Anolis sagrei: one gene and its partner. The protein of the gene in region 2 purifies or fractionates together with the protein of the main gene of each other region. This does not show direct contact. Links are inferred from orthologs where the notes say so. Each region holds a gene or a part of one and is shown on either strand. Other genes may lie near its edges.

The links.
Region 1: the proteins of PYM1 (region 2) and RBM8A purify together in Homo sapiens (co-immunoprecipitation; 11 studies listed by BioGRID and IntAct, counting the BioPlex papers as one, with this or other methods). This does not show direct contact. The link is inferred for Anolis sagrei from reciprocal best matches to the Homo sapiens genes PYM1 and RBM8A.

Annotation. Positions count from the first base shown.
Region 1 is NC_090032.1:21,384,512-21,392,045, reverse strand, and holds the start of RBM8A (RNA-binding protein 8A), read left to right. Parts: upstream 1-4,511; 5' UTR 4,512-4,603; coding exon 4,604-4,670; intron 4,671-6,058; coding exon 6,059-6,118; intron 6,119-7,534.
Region 2 is NC_090022.1:146,357,719-146,365,607, forward strand, and holds the start of PYM1 (partner of Y14 and mago), read right to left. Parts: upstream 3,020-7,889; coding exon 2,899-3,019; intron 1-2,898. UniProt on the Homo sapiens protein: Key regulator of the exon junction complex (EJC), a multiprotein complex that associates immediately upstream of the exon-exon junction on mRNAs and serves as a positional landmark for the intron exon structure of genes and directs post-transcriptional processes in the cytoplasm such as mRNA export, nonsense-mediated mRNA decay (NMD) or translation.

The DNA.
Region 1 (7,534 bases), on a different chromosome or scaffold from region 2:
TCCCTGTGAATCGCACATATGGTATTGCCTGTGCAGACAGTTCGGAATCTTCTAGAAAACTTACTAGACACTTTTAGGCGGTAGCCCCGCCCATTCTCCCCTTGAGAGTATATATAGCCAGTAGGAGGGGCTATTACCTCGGATCCACTTCAGCCATTGTTGCAATGACTTTTCCCATTTGTTCAAATTTGGACTTGCAAAGATTTCAGTCGTTGTTGCAATACTTTCTTCCGTCAAAGCTGAATTTACAAAGTTGTTGTTGTAACGCCTTTCCCCATTATTCAAACCTGGACTTGCAAAGATTTTTGCAATACTTTCTTCCGTCAAATTTGGACTTGCAAAGATTTCAGTCGTTGTTGCAATGAGTTTTCCTCATCGTGGTCCCTGTGAATCGCACATATAGTATCGCCTGCGCAGACAGTTCGGAATCTTCTAGAAAACTTACTAGACACTTTTAGGTGGTAGCCCCGCCCACTCTCCCCTTGACGAGTATATATATCCAGTGGGAGGGGCTAGGTACAGTATTAAGTGGAAGTGTAGCATTGCCAGGAAAAAAACCTTGTTTTTGGTTTCTTGCTATGGATATAATGCCTAATTTTTAGGAATCTCGTGCATAAACCGTATGGAAGGGAAGTGTTATATTCTTCAATGGATAGGATCCATAATTGTAGGGAAAGTCACATAGTGAAGATAGGCTCTGCGTTACAACCCCAGAAGCACAAATTCGAATTCATTTGGTTGGAAATTTCCTAAAATTTCCGATTTGTTTACATTCAGAAAGGGATTTTCGTACGAAAAATTTCCGAGATCTAATGGAACGTAGTCTCTTCCCAAAATTGAGGGGCGAAAACACTTTTGGCCCCTGCGATTCGTGTCCCGGAAATAAGTCTTGTACCTTTTATATATATATATATATTAAAGTATATGTATCTATTTTTATATAGCACTTTGTTTACACTGCAGTATTGATGTTTATAAACGCATTTACTACAAAACGGCCCTCGAAGGGTTGCCTCCGGTTTTGTTCTCACGATGTTCTGTACTGGTTTTTGTAATTTTTTAAAAGTACAATAAAAGTAGCGTATCCTGCGTGGCTCGTTCTTTTCTTCATACGCTTTCCCCTTCGCTCTTTCCATCCTTTCTTTCCCTCTTCCGTTGCTTTGCTTCATATGCCGTTAGTCCTCTTCGTTTCTCGTTCTTCTCACTCCGTCCCTCTTTCCCTTCTTTTCCTTTCTTTCCTTCCCTCCTCTTGTGCCTTTCCGTCTTTCATTTCTCTTCCTTCCTTTTTCTTTCTTTCCTCAGTTATTTCCCTTTTCTTCTTCTCCTCCCCTCATATCTTTCCCTTCTTTTTCATCTTTTCCTCCTTTTTCTCTCCCTTCTTTTTCTTTCGTTCTGCCCTCCCCTTGTACCTTCCTCCTTTCCTTTCTCTTCATTCCCTCCTTTTTTCTCTCTCCCTTTCCTCCCTTTTTTCTCCCTTCCCTTCTTTTTCTTTCTTCCCTCCCCTTGTACCTTCTCCCTTTCCTTTCTCTTCATTCCCTCCTTTTTTCTCTCTCCCTTTCCTCCCTTCCCTTCTTTTTCTTTCTTCCCTCCCTTTGTACCTTCCCCCTTTCCTTTCTCATTCCCTCCTTTTTTCTTCCTCCCTCCCTTTCCTCCCCTTTTTCTTTCTTCCCTTCCTTTACTTCCCTTCTTTTTCTTTCTTTCTTTCCTCCCCTTCTACCTTCCCTCTTTCTTTTCTCTTCATTCCCTCCTTTTTTCTTTCTTCCCTTCCTTTACTTCCCTTTTTTTTCTTCCCTTCCCTTGTACCTCCCCCCTTCCCTTTCTCTTAATTCCCTCCTTTTTTCTTTCTTCCCTTCCTTTACTTCCCTTTTTTTTCTTTCTTTCTGTCTTCCCCTTGTACCTCTCCCTTTCCTTTCTCTTCATTCCCTTCTTTTTTCTTCCTCCCTCCCTTTCCTCCCTTTTTTCTTACATCCTTTCCTTTACTTCCCTTCTTTTTCTTTCTTCCCTTCCTCCCCTTCTACCTTCCCGCTTTCTTTTCTCTTCATTCCCTCCTTTTTTTCTTTCTTCCCTTCCTTTACTTCCCTTTTTTTTCTTTCTTTCTGTCTTCCCCTTGTACCTCTCCCTTTCCTTTCTCTTCATTCCCTTCTTTTTTCTTCCTCCCTCCCTTTCCTCCCTTTTTTCTTACGTCCTTTCCTTTACTTCCCTTCTTTTTCTTTCTTCCCTTCCTCCCCATCTACCTTCCCGCTTTCTTTTCTCTTCATTCCCTCCTTTTTTTCTTTCTTCCTTTCCTTTACTTCCCTTTTTCTTTCTTTCTTCCCTCCCCTTGTACCTCCCCCTTCCCTTTCTCTTCATTCCCTTTTTTCTCCCTCCCCTTTCTCTTCCTTCCCTTCCCTTCCTTTTTCTTCCTTCCTTCCCTTGTACCGTACCCTTTTCCTTTCTCTTAATTCCCTCCCTTTTTCCTTCCTTTCCTTCCCTTCTTTTCTTTCTTTCTTTCCACCCCTTATACCTTCCCCCTTTCCTTTCTCTTCGTTCCCTCTTTTTTTCTTTCTCCCTCCATTTTCTCCTTTTTTTCCCTTCTCTTCCTTTACTTTCCTTCTTTTTCTTTCTTTCTTCCCTCCCCTTATGGCAGAACCAATTAGGATCTACCATTTATTATGAAATTTTGAAACTTTTGTTAGAGTTCTGAAATTTTCACCACCACAACTTTACCAACACTGTAAAAGCAAAGCACCAGCGCCCCCTAGTTTTCACTACCAGAACTTTAGTTTTGTAAGTACTTTAGAACCATAGATTGCACATGCCTAGTGTGTATGTGTACACACACACACACTCCACTTGCTACCTCTATGCAAATACCCTTTCTGACTGACTTTGCAAATTTCACGGCTGCTCAAGGCTATTCAAGCTTTCTCATCCACACTTGCTTCACACAGACGAGGGTTCTTTCTCCCACCCTGGACTTCATTCCACGGGGATATATACACTCCACTTCCCTCACTACTTCTGTGCAGATACCCTCACTGATATCTATTCAGCACTACCCACACTTGCTTACTGCAACATCCACACTTGCTTTAAACAGACACGGGTTCTTTCTCCCACCCTGGGCATGATTAACAACACTACCCATTCAGTGCTAAGGCTCCACGCCAAAATGGAACTGTAGAGGAGAGTCTACTGAACGAGCCAGTACCTGCCACATACATTGCTTAAGTCGCATTGACCGACCGTCTGTGCAGGGTTCCATACTTTGCACTTTAACAACACAACCGTTCAATGCTAAGGCTTCCCACCAAAATGGAACTGTAGAGGAGAGTCTACCGAACAAGCCAGTACCTGCAGCATACATTGCTTAAGTCGTATTGACCGACTGTCTGCGCAGGGCTCCATACTTCACGCTTTAACAACACAACCGTCCAATGCTAAGGTTTCCTGCTAAAATGGAACTGTAGAGGAGAGTCTACTGAACAAGCCAGTACCTGCCACATACGTTGCTTAAGTCACATTGATCGACCGTCTGTGCAGGGTTCCATACTTTGCACTTTAACAACACAACCGTTCAATGCTAAGCCTTCCCGCCAAAATGGAACTAGAGAGGAGAGTCTACCGAACAAGCCAGTACCTGCAGCATACATTGCTTAAGTCGTATTGACCGACTGTCTGCGCAGGGCTCCATACTTCACGCTTTAACAACACAACCGTCCAATGCTAAGGTTTCCTGCTAAAATGGAACTGTAGAGGAGAGTCTACTGAACAAGCCAGTACCTGCCACATACGTTGCTTAAGTCACATTGATCGACCGTCTGTGCAGGGTTCCATACTTTGCACTTTAACAACACAACCGTTCAATGCTAAGCCTTCCCGCCAAAATGGAACTGTAAAGGAGAGTCTACTGAATGAGCCAGTACTTGTCGCATACATTGCTTAAGTCGCATTGACCGACTGTCTGCGCAGGGCTCCATACTTCACACTTTAACAACACAACTGTTCAATGTTAGGGCTTCCTGCCAAAATGGAACTGTAGCGGAGAGTCTACTGAATAAGCCAGTACCTGCCGCATACGTTGCTTACATCGCATTGACCAACTGTTTGCGCAGGGTTCCATACTTTGCACTTTAACAACACAACCGTTCAATGCTAAGGCTTCCTGCCCAAATGAAACTGTAGAGGAGAGTCTACTGAACGAGCCAGTACCTGCCGCATACATTGCTGTCCAGGGGGAGGTGGCCTACAGAAGGCTCAACGTTAAGAACGGAAACTACCAAGAGAGCGTTTCTCTTTCCACCTCCAGACCCTTCCCTTCTTTTAAGTCCAACCACGAAGGCTTTGCCTGCCAGGTGGGGTCCGGATCCACCCAGCCGTTTTTGAACCTTGTTGGGACAAACCAACAAATCCACGTCGACGACCTTCTCAAGATGGCGCCTGCGCGGGGGACGCCGCGTTTCTGCGCAGGCGCGACTGGGCGACCTCCTCTGGACGTCTCCGCCCCCTTCCTTTGGCGCTGAAGGGAGTGCGCATGCGCAGAGACGCTCCTTCTCTTGCTGTGTGGGAGTAGGCCGCGGAGCCTGTCGTGTCGTACTCTTCGGTGTTTCGGGCTCTCCTCGCGATGGCGGACGTCTTGGACCTCCACGAGGCCGGCGGAGAGGACTTCGCCATGGACGAGGACGGCGACGGTGAGTGAGCAGCCCAAGCCAGGCCCTGGCCTCACTAATTTAGGGCCCGCCTGAGGCCTAGTCGCCTCCGGTTGAGCGGAAGTGACGTCGAACTACATCCCCCAGAAGCTCTTGCCGGCCACGGCAACGGTGGAGCATTCTGGGAAATGGAGTCCAGTACTACTTTAGCGCCTATTGCGGCCTGTAGCGTGTAGATGGATGGACAAATAGATAAATAAATAGATATACACAATGCTCTCTTGCGTGTAGATCTCTTATCTGTATTTTATTATTAATTAAATTTAATAATATGTAATTTTATGTGTATCTATCTATTATTTATTATGTGTATTATTTATTATGTGTATCTGTATATATATATATATAATTTGGATCTTACATTTGGGTCTATATATTTTTATTATTTAATAATATCAATAATATAATAAATAAATATATTATTTGTATTTTATTATTAATTAAATTTAATATATAATTTTATGTGTGTCTATTTATATTATTATTATTTGATGCAATACATTATATAATATATTATAGTGTGTGTATATAATTTTGTGTCTATATCATTTAATATAATTTAATAATAATATTTAATAGTAATTCAATAAGTTTTATATGTGATATAATATATTATTTTGTCTGTGTATATATATATAATTTGGATTTTAAATGTGTGTCTATATAATTTATTATTATTATTTAATAATATAATAAATAAATAAGATTATTATATGCAATATATTATATTATTTTATGTGTGTTTGTGTGTGTGAATAATAAAATATTATTTCTATTTTATTAATTAAGTTTAATATATAATTTTATGTGTGTCTATCTATATTATTTATTATGTGTATCTATATTATTTTTATATGAAATATAATATATTATTTTGTGTGTGTATGTATATATATATGTATAATTTGGATCTTAAATTTGTGTCTATATAATTTTTTATTTAATAATAATATTAATAATATAATATTAAAATAAGATGATTATATGCAATATAATATATTATTTTGTGTGTGTATATATATATAATTTGGATCTTAAATTTACATCTATATAATTTATTAAGTTGTAATGTTTTGGATTGTGAACCGCTTTGATTCTTCGTATGGAGAGATCAAGCAGGATACAATAATAATAATAATAATAATAATAATAATAATAATGTGTATCCTAAATTGTAGAAGTGATCAGCCTTCATTGTATGTTTTTTCCCTCTCTCTCACACACACACACACACACATATATATATATCTTTGCGCTCCTCTGTCTTATCTATGTATATAAACTATGTTAACATACACCTACTGTGGTTGTTGTTGTTGTTTTGTGAATTTGACCGTTGTTTAATCAAACTCTATGTGGTCTCTCTGCAGAAAGCATCCACAAACTGAAGGAAAAAGCAAAGAAAAGGAAAGGCCGAGGCTTCGGATCAGGTAAGGCGACTCAACCTTATGATGATGGTGATGATGATGAAGATAATAATAATTCACCTTAATAGCAATCCTACAAAACTCATCCTGTTCGTACCTTGCCTATATTAAATAGTGTTGAGTTTGATCCATGCTGTGCCTTACTTTGGGGTGGGAAATATATACATCTATTATTATTATTATTATTTTCATATTAATATTAATATTATATTATTATTATTAAATTACATATTAAATTTAATTAATAATAAAATACAAATAATAATATTATATATATATATATATACACACACACACACAAACACACACAAAATAATATATTATATTGCATATAATATTTATTATATATTATTAACATTATTATTAAATAATAATAAATTAGACAGATTTAAGATCCAAATTATATATACACACACACAAAATAATATATATTGCATATAATAATCTTATTTTATTATTATATAATAATATATTGCATTAAATAATAATAAATAATATAGATACACATAAATAATATAGATAGACATGCATAAAATTACATATTAAATTTAATTAATAATAAAATACAAATTTTATATATATATATATATATACACACACACAAACACACATAAAATAATATATTGCATATAATAATCTTATTTATTTATTATATTATTAATAATATTATATTATTATTGTGGGAGAGAAGCCTCCCACAAGGATGATAAAAACATCCAATCATCTAGGTGGCGTCCCCTGGGCAATGTCCTTGCAGACGGCCAATTCTCTCACACCAGAAGCAACTTGCAGTTTCTCAAGTCGCTCCTGACATGACAAAAAATAATAATAATTACTATTATTATCATATTAGTTTATTATGTAACCTTAGCGGTTGTACGTTTTCGGTAGTGTGTTTTTGGCTGCTTTGGGTCTGTTTTTAAGAGAGAGCTTTAAAGTACATTCTAAAGTACGAAAACACTAGATGTTACGAAGAAGAAGCAAGTTTAAAATAATATAATAATAGTTTTGAAGCTGTATGTTTTATTTTTCACCAATGTAAGTCTCTAAGAGAAAAAGAGAGATATTATTCATAACTAGCCGTCCCCTGCCATGCGTTGCTGTGGCTCAGTCTGTGTATAAGTGTTTTGTGTGTGTATATATGTGTACATGTGTATATATGTGGTTTTGCGCACGCGTTGTAATGTATTTTTTAAGTCCCTTCCGCTGTGTTTTCCAGTGTTTTTGTGAGTGATAGTCACTCGTTGGCCTGATAAGTGGATTGTGACCAAATTTGGTGTCCATTCGTCCAGTGGTTTTTGAGTTATGCTAATCCCACAAACGAACATTACATTTTGATTTATACAGATAAGTAAAAAGCACCTAAGTAAAAAGCACTTTAAAGGAATAGGTAAATCCAATTAGGTAAGAAGATAAGCA
Region 2 (7,889 bases):
TTTATGGCAGTGTAGGCTCATATAATCCAGTTCAAAGTAGATTATGTAGATTATATGGCAGTGTAGAAGGGGCAATAGTTTCATGTGTAAGTTGCAGACAACTAATTCCCTAAAAAGTATTGTGAGGATAAATTAAAAAGAAGTGTGATCCCCATGAAGGAACTGAAAAACATAAATGTAGTTAATACATTTAAATAGAATCTCCCAAAATGAATATACTCATTAACAGCTAATAGTAACTCTGGCAATTACTGGAAGGTTAAGTACATACATTCATATTGAAAACCTTCATTAAAGGAAGCAATATTTGCAGGTCCCAGAAAAAAAATCCATCTGCTCACAAATAATATAATTTGCATCTGATTATTTTCTTATTGGGTGGAATAGAAAAAAGGCTATTAGATACCTGCAGTCTAAAGCCTTCATTTTTATATTTAAGTGCTATGCAATGATAAACAGCATGTGTGTGTGTGTGTGTGTTTATACACACCCACCCCGCAGGTTGTGTATCCCTTATCCAGTGTTGCCTCTACACTGTAGATTTAATGCAGTTTGACCCCACTTTAACTGCCATGGCTCAGGCTGTTGAATACTGGGAGTTGCAGTTTGGTGAGAACCCAGCACTTTCTGGCAGAGAAGGCTAAAGACATTGGATAACTACAACTCTCATGGTTTGAGAGCATTGACGCTCCTTCCACACAGCTGCATAAAATCCACTTTGAACTGGATTATATGGCAGTGTGGACTCAGCTAAGCCTGTTCAAAGCAGATATTGTGAATTATCTGCCTTAGTATTCTGGGCAATAGGGCTGTGTGGAAGGGCCCTGAACCTTGGTAGGTAAAGTGCGTTAAACCTGCATTAATCCTGCAGTGTAGGTACATCCCAAAGATGTTAGAAACCAGAGATATTATTTTTGGGTTTCTTTTCTTTCAGATTCTGGGAATATTTCTCTATACATAATAAAATACCTCAGAGAGGGGACCCAAGGCTCAAACAACAAATTTATTTATGTTTCATATAAACTGCACAGAAATAATGTAATACGCATGTTAATTAATTTGGGGTGCAACAAAACACCAGAAGGCAAAGGTGTCAAAGGGCCCTTCCACACAACCCTATATCCCAGAATATCAAGGTGGAAAATCTCACAGTATATGCTTTGAACTAGGCCCCCTTCAAAACAGCTGAATAAAATCCCACATTTTCTGCTTTGAACTGGGGTATATGGCAGTGTGGACTCAGATAACCCAGTTCAAGGCAGGTAGGGCCCTTCCACACAGTCCTATCCCACAACACAGCCCTATATCCCAGAATCTCAAGGCAGGAAATCCCACATGATCTGAGTGTGGACTCAGATAACCCAGATATTGTGGGATCTTCAAAGTGCTGAATTCAAAGTGCTGGCGTTGGCCTTTAAAGCCCTAAACGGTTCCGGCCCAAGCTACCTATCTGACCGCATCTCTGCCTATGAACCCACCAAGACTTTGAGATCTTCCGGGGAGACCCTGCTCTCGATCACGCCTGCTTCTCAAGTCGGCTGGCAGGGACGAGAGATAGGGCCTTCTCGGTGGTGGCTCCTCGGCTGTGGAACGCCCTTCCTACGGACATTAGACTAGCACCATCTCTAATGGTATTCCACAAAAAGGTGAAGACCTGGATGTTTGTGCAGGCGTTTGAGTAATTTAGTGCAATCTGGTAATGGAACATAGGAATGGAACAATGGACGACGAACCTGGACTACGCTTGGATGATGAGAAGATTGGGTACGGTTGTTTTTTGTAATAATTGTGCATTGTAATTGCTTATTGGTAATTTATGGATAATGTGTTAAGTCAATTGTTATATGTTGTATGGAACCACTGCTGTTTCTACCGTTTTTACTGTTTGTGAACCGCTGTGAGTTGCCTTCGGGCTTGAGATACAGCGGTATATAAGCAAAGTAAATAAATAAATAAATAAATAATCTTCTGCCTTGATATTCCGGGTTAGAGGGCTGTCTGGAAGGGCCTACCTACACTGCTCTAAGTGTGGACTCAGATAACCCAGTTCCAAGCAGATATTGTGGGATTTCCTGCCTTGATATTCTGAGATATAGGGCTGCGTGGAAGGGCCTACACTGCCATATATTCCAACTCAAAGCAGATAATGTGGGATTTTATTCAGCTGTGTGGAAGGGGCCTACAGATATGCTTATCCGAGAGCCCTTCCACACAGCCATACAATCCAGAATATCAAAGCAGAAAATCCCACAATATCGGCTTTGAACTGGGTCTGCCATATATTCCAATTCAAAGCAAGCATATCTGAATTGACATTCTGGCTGTGTGGAAGGGCCCTGAGGCACTTCCATTTAAATCCAGGCATTTTTTATCCATTTAGTGAATGGGCAAGTGGGAGAGATTCACCCACCATAGACAAAAATCGCCCATAGAAGAATATGGGGAAAGCGTCCCACAAGTTGTGCTATTTAGACTATTATTTATTGTTATTATTATTTATTGTTATTATTATTATTATTATTATTATATTTAGATAGGAATAAACAAGCCCAAGGGTGAACCATGGCTCATCCTTTCAACCGGAGGCTCTTGGAAGCGGGAAAAGGGAGAAGGGTGAGCTTCCAATGAGTAGGAGCGGAGGGAGGGGGTCCACAGGGGGAGAAGAGCCCGGCGGGGGATAATCCTGTCCGGGAAGAGCCTCTCGCGCAGTGGGCGTGGCCCCGCGGCGGATGAAAGCGAAAGGTGGAGCCTGGGCGCGCGAGGACGGAGGATGGGAGGGGCGTCGTCGTCGTCGGAAGGCGGCAAGGCCCCATTGCGAGGTAGAAGGACAGGAGCTCAGAGTCGCTCCCGGGCCCCCCCCTCGCCTCCTCCCAGCCCAACCGCCGCTTTCCCACTCACCGGTTTCATCAGTCACATAGGGAGTCGCCATCTTGGAAGCGCGACCCACTTCCGGTCCCTGTACCTCCCCCTCCGGATGTGTCGTGAGTGAGAGGAGGAGAAACATCCGCGCGGCCGCCATTTTGTTTCTGGGTGGAGCCCTCCCTCCGTCTCTCCCCCCCCCCCCCCGCCTCAGTCCTCCCCATGCTCTTCTTCCCCTTCAAGCCCAGGGCCCTGCCACACAGCCCTATAGCCCAGAATATCAAGGCAGAAAACCCCACAATATCTGTTTTGAACCGGGTTATCTGAGTCCACACTGCCATATATTCCAGTTCAAAGCAGATAATGTGGACTTTTATTCAGCTGTGTGGAAGAGGCCCCAGCCTTAGTTGGGCCTTTGCATGTCCCTTCCCGGCTCAGCAGGGTTTGAGGGCATAGTAGGCAGCTTAGTCATCGAGGCAAGCACGATTTTGTATTTTTAGAACAGGGGTCCCTTCCACACAGCCCTATATCCCAGTATATCAAGACAGAAAATCCCACATGATCTAAGTCAGGGGTCCTCAAACTAAGGCCTGGGGGCCGGATGCGGCCCTCCAAGGTCATTTACCCGGCCCTCGCTCAAGGTCAACCTAAGTCTGAAACGACTTGAAAGCACACAACAACAACAACAATCCTATCTCATCAGCCAAAAGCAGGCCCACATTTCCCATTGAAATACTCATAAGTTTATATTTGTTAACATTGTTCCTCATTTTAATTATTTATTGTTTTTAAGTGTTTATTACACTACAAATAAGGTATGTGAAGCATGCACAGGAATTCATGCTTTATTTTTCAAATTATAATCCGGCCCTCCAACAGTTTGAGGGACTGTGACCTGGCCCTCTTGTTTAAAAAGGACCCCTGATCTAAGTGGACTGGGATTCACAGTTTTATCATGGAGAAAAGGTGTCTCCAATGAAGCTTTATCACCAATCCTTGTTTCCACATCAAGCCAATTTTTTCAAAATCCCAATTGTCACAGGGATGGAAATGAGATGAAACCCACTGTGGACTCAAACAATTATGGATCTGGACCAAACTTGGCACAAGCACTCAATATGCCCAAATATGATGGAGTTTGGGGGGGAAAGACCTTGATATTTGGGAGTTGTAGTCACTGGGATTCACAGTTCACCTACAATCAAAGAGCATTCTGAACCCCATGAACAACAGAATCGGGGCAAACTTCCCACACAGAACCCCCATGGCCAACAGAAAATACTTAAGGCCATCCAATCCAACTCCCTTCACCAGGGCAAGAAAACATAACCAAAGTCCTCCTGACGAGCCATCCAGCCATAGATATAGATAGATAGATAGATAGATAGATAGATAGATAGATAGGGAGTTGTAGTTGCTGGGATTTATAGTTCACCTACAATCAAATAGCATGATAGAATTGAACCAACCGGGGCATACAGGACTCTCATGACCAACAGAAAACACTAGAAGGGTTTGGTGAGCATTGACCTTGAGATTGGGAATTGTAGTTCATCCACATCCAGATACTACCATGGACTCAGTGATGGATCTGGACCAAACTTGGCACAAATATTCCATATGCCCAAATATGAACACAGATGGAGTTTGGGGGAAATAGACCTTGACATTTGGGAGTTGTAGTTACTGGGATATATAGTTCACCTACAATCAAAGAGTGTTCTGAACCCCACCAACGACAGAATTGGGCCACACTTCCCACACAGAACCTCCATGACCAACAGAAAATACTCAAGGCCATCCAGTCCAAGTCCCTTCACCAGGGCAAGAAAACATAATCAAAGCCCTTCTAACATAGAGCCATCCAGCCATAAATATAGATACATATGATCCACACACACACAAATAAAGTATCATAGATCTGAAAGGGACCCCTGAAGAAGGACAATTTTATGTTGCATGTTCCAGAGTAGGCAAACCAGACAATCTCCATATCAACATTGACAAAGAAACAGCAAGAAATACTGTTTACCCACAAGCATCAACACATTACATATATTAGAAACCAACTCTTTCTCATTATTTTATTTTCCATATCAACAGACTAGGCCACAGCAACGCGTGGCGAAATTACACTTCATAAATGTACCTGTTCTGGCGTACATACAAATTCAACAAGGACAAACTTACAGAACCTATCTTGTCTGTAACTTGGGGACTGCCTGTATTGCCTGTTTGCACATAAGATGGAGATGTTGAGAACCTACTCTGACACAAAAAGGAATTATGAAAGAGGAGTAAAATCTCTTATAGCTTTCTACCATCCTCTGTTATCAGGAACTGCTTAACGTGATGGAATGAGGTGAGGTAGATCAGTGGCATAGTTTCCAGATCTTTTACCATTTCAGTTCCCCACCTCTGGATACTTAGTTTCTTGAATTGCAGTCCCAAGAACTGGACATAGTGGTCCACATGAGTGATTGTGTCTAATGATCAGGATACTCTCGATGTTGAGAATGACAATGATGTTTCTAATTATGAGGTTGCTTTAGATGCAGAGAATGACAATGGAATTCCCGTTCAAAGTGTCTTTCCTGATGAGAATGTTCCTGAAGGGTTTGAGGATGATGGTATGGTCCCAGGAAGAGGACCTGAATTGCTACCAGAGAATTCCCAGGACTTTGAGCTTGAGAAAAGCTCGAAACCTGAGCCAACTACAGAAATTAATGAGCCAGTATAGAGAAGGATATTTTCAGTCAGCACAGGCAAACAAACCAATATCTCTGGCGTTCTGCCAGACGGAGAGAGAAATTGATAACAGAGTCAAAGGTGAAAGGAAATCTGTTCCTGGCCGCTTGGGACATAGGGTAAATTAGGGGATAAAAGTGCCAAGTACAGAATCTATAGTCAGATGAAGCAACATTGGAATTGAGTCAAGACATTTTTCCTGGTCCTTGGAAGCCTTGCCTTGGATAGATTCATGTGTTAAGTGCCTTGTTTGATTTCATGGTTCAAGTTTTGGAGTTTTACCTTGGAAGTTTCTGTATTTGTTTTTCATGAACTTTGATGGACTAATTTCCTGGACTATTTGTTTCTGCTTATCTTTCTACCTATTTGGATTTACCTATTTTTATGGAGTTTTTTTTACTGCTACTGCTTTTTAATTATCTTCAATAAACTACTTGCATTTTTACTCAGCTGTGTGATGTTTAAAGTCAGAGGGCTATCCTGGCTGGAGTGCAACACAGCCTAGAATTTCATTGGCTTTTTAGCTGTCACATCACTGTTACAGCCAAGCCACCTACTTGATCCCAAACACCACACAGATGAACAGGAATAGTAAGTTAATTAAGAAAAGAATATTGAATATAAAAATCCATTTGAAAATACATCTGTGAGCTAGAGTTCCAGAAGCTTAACAAAAAGCAATGACCAACTCTGAACACGAATTCCAAAAATCATTTAAGGCAAAAGCAAGAAACTGTAATACAATGTTTGTTGCACTTAAACTAGAATTCTATCCAAAAGGTTGGAAATATGAACATGACCATAATCCAAAGGCTTGATACTTGAACTTCACCATAATCCCAAAGGCTTGAATCCCAAAACAAGATTTGTAATCCAAACTGGGAGCATGGAACTTAAACAGGAAAACAAGATACAGACCCAAGAAGAGAACCCCTAACTCGGAGCTCCCAAGACAGGCAACGACATATGAAAATCCAATGTTGATCTCCCCAGCGAACATTGACTCCAATTCCTTAAGAATACTCGTGTCCATGACATCACTCTCACGTCATCTGTAGAGACTTAGGGCATTTAACTTGAACTAGATCTTCAGGCCTATGCCACCATTTAAAGCACTATGCTGAGGTGATTCTTATAGAGAATCTTTTAAGTCTTCGCTGCCACCAAATGTATAGAATGTTTCTCTAACTTGTTTAGAAATTCTTCTCTTTAGAGGCACGCTGAGGCAATTGTTTGAACAAAGAACAAAGTTGTTTATTTGTGTGAACTTTGGCAATACAGGCACTTAAGCTTAACGGTTGCAGTAATGAATAAACGTGTGTGGTTACTTCAAAGAACAGTTCAATTCTTAAACACTTCTTGGTTGCACTTAAACTCTTAACTCCCTCACAAAAATCTAGCAGTCTTCCCTCTGACTAGACTTCTTTGACTTCAAACAGTCCTTTCTCTTCAGTATTTCAGCTATTCTTTCTCTAATAGCTCTCTGAATACTACTGTAATCTACCTTCTTTAAAACCCAGAGTCTGTCTGACTCACACAAACACCAGAACCTATCTCTTCAACACCCAGGGTTTTAAAACGCCCCCTTAAAGTCATTTTTTCCCTTTTCTAAGTTAAGCTCCGCCCACTTTCTCCCAGCCAATCACTAACTCCTCTCCTTTCCCTCCAAGCTCCTAAGCATGCCCCCTTCAGGAAATGAGATTTAAAATGGACCCCCCCCCCCCCAGCATCCTTTCCAAAATGGCTGACAAACTTCCTGGGCTTACTTTTCTAGGCTTTTCCTAGCCTAACAGGTAGGGAATTCACTACATCATCGCACACCTGGGTTCCCTTTGTTTATCTTTCAGTCTCCGAGAACATTACATTTCTCTCTGTTTCACACTATCCCTTTGGAGCTCTAAACGCTGGGTAATCTGTAACCCACCTGTTGTCTCCACATTAATTTCAGAGTCAATTCCTGGCTGATTCTCATGAGAATCACTGTTTCTCCAACAACAGATCTACCCAAAACATATCTATCGTATAAAAAAAAACACTTTCACTTCCCCCCACAGAAACACTGGGCTCAACCAGAAAATCCTCATTCTCAGAGGCTTCACAGGCCTTAACAGTCACATTGTGCTTTTTTAAGCATTCTCTCCACTTCGATCTTATTAAAGAAGTCATCACTGCTAATTAGGAACAGATCTAAAATACCCAATCTCTTTGTTGCCTCTTCTACCTTCTGATCAATGAAGTTTGAAAGGCAAGTGAGGAATTTGCTGAACTTTATATTCTTGGCA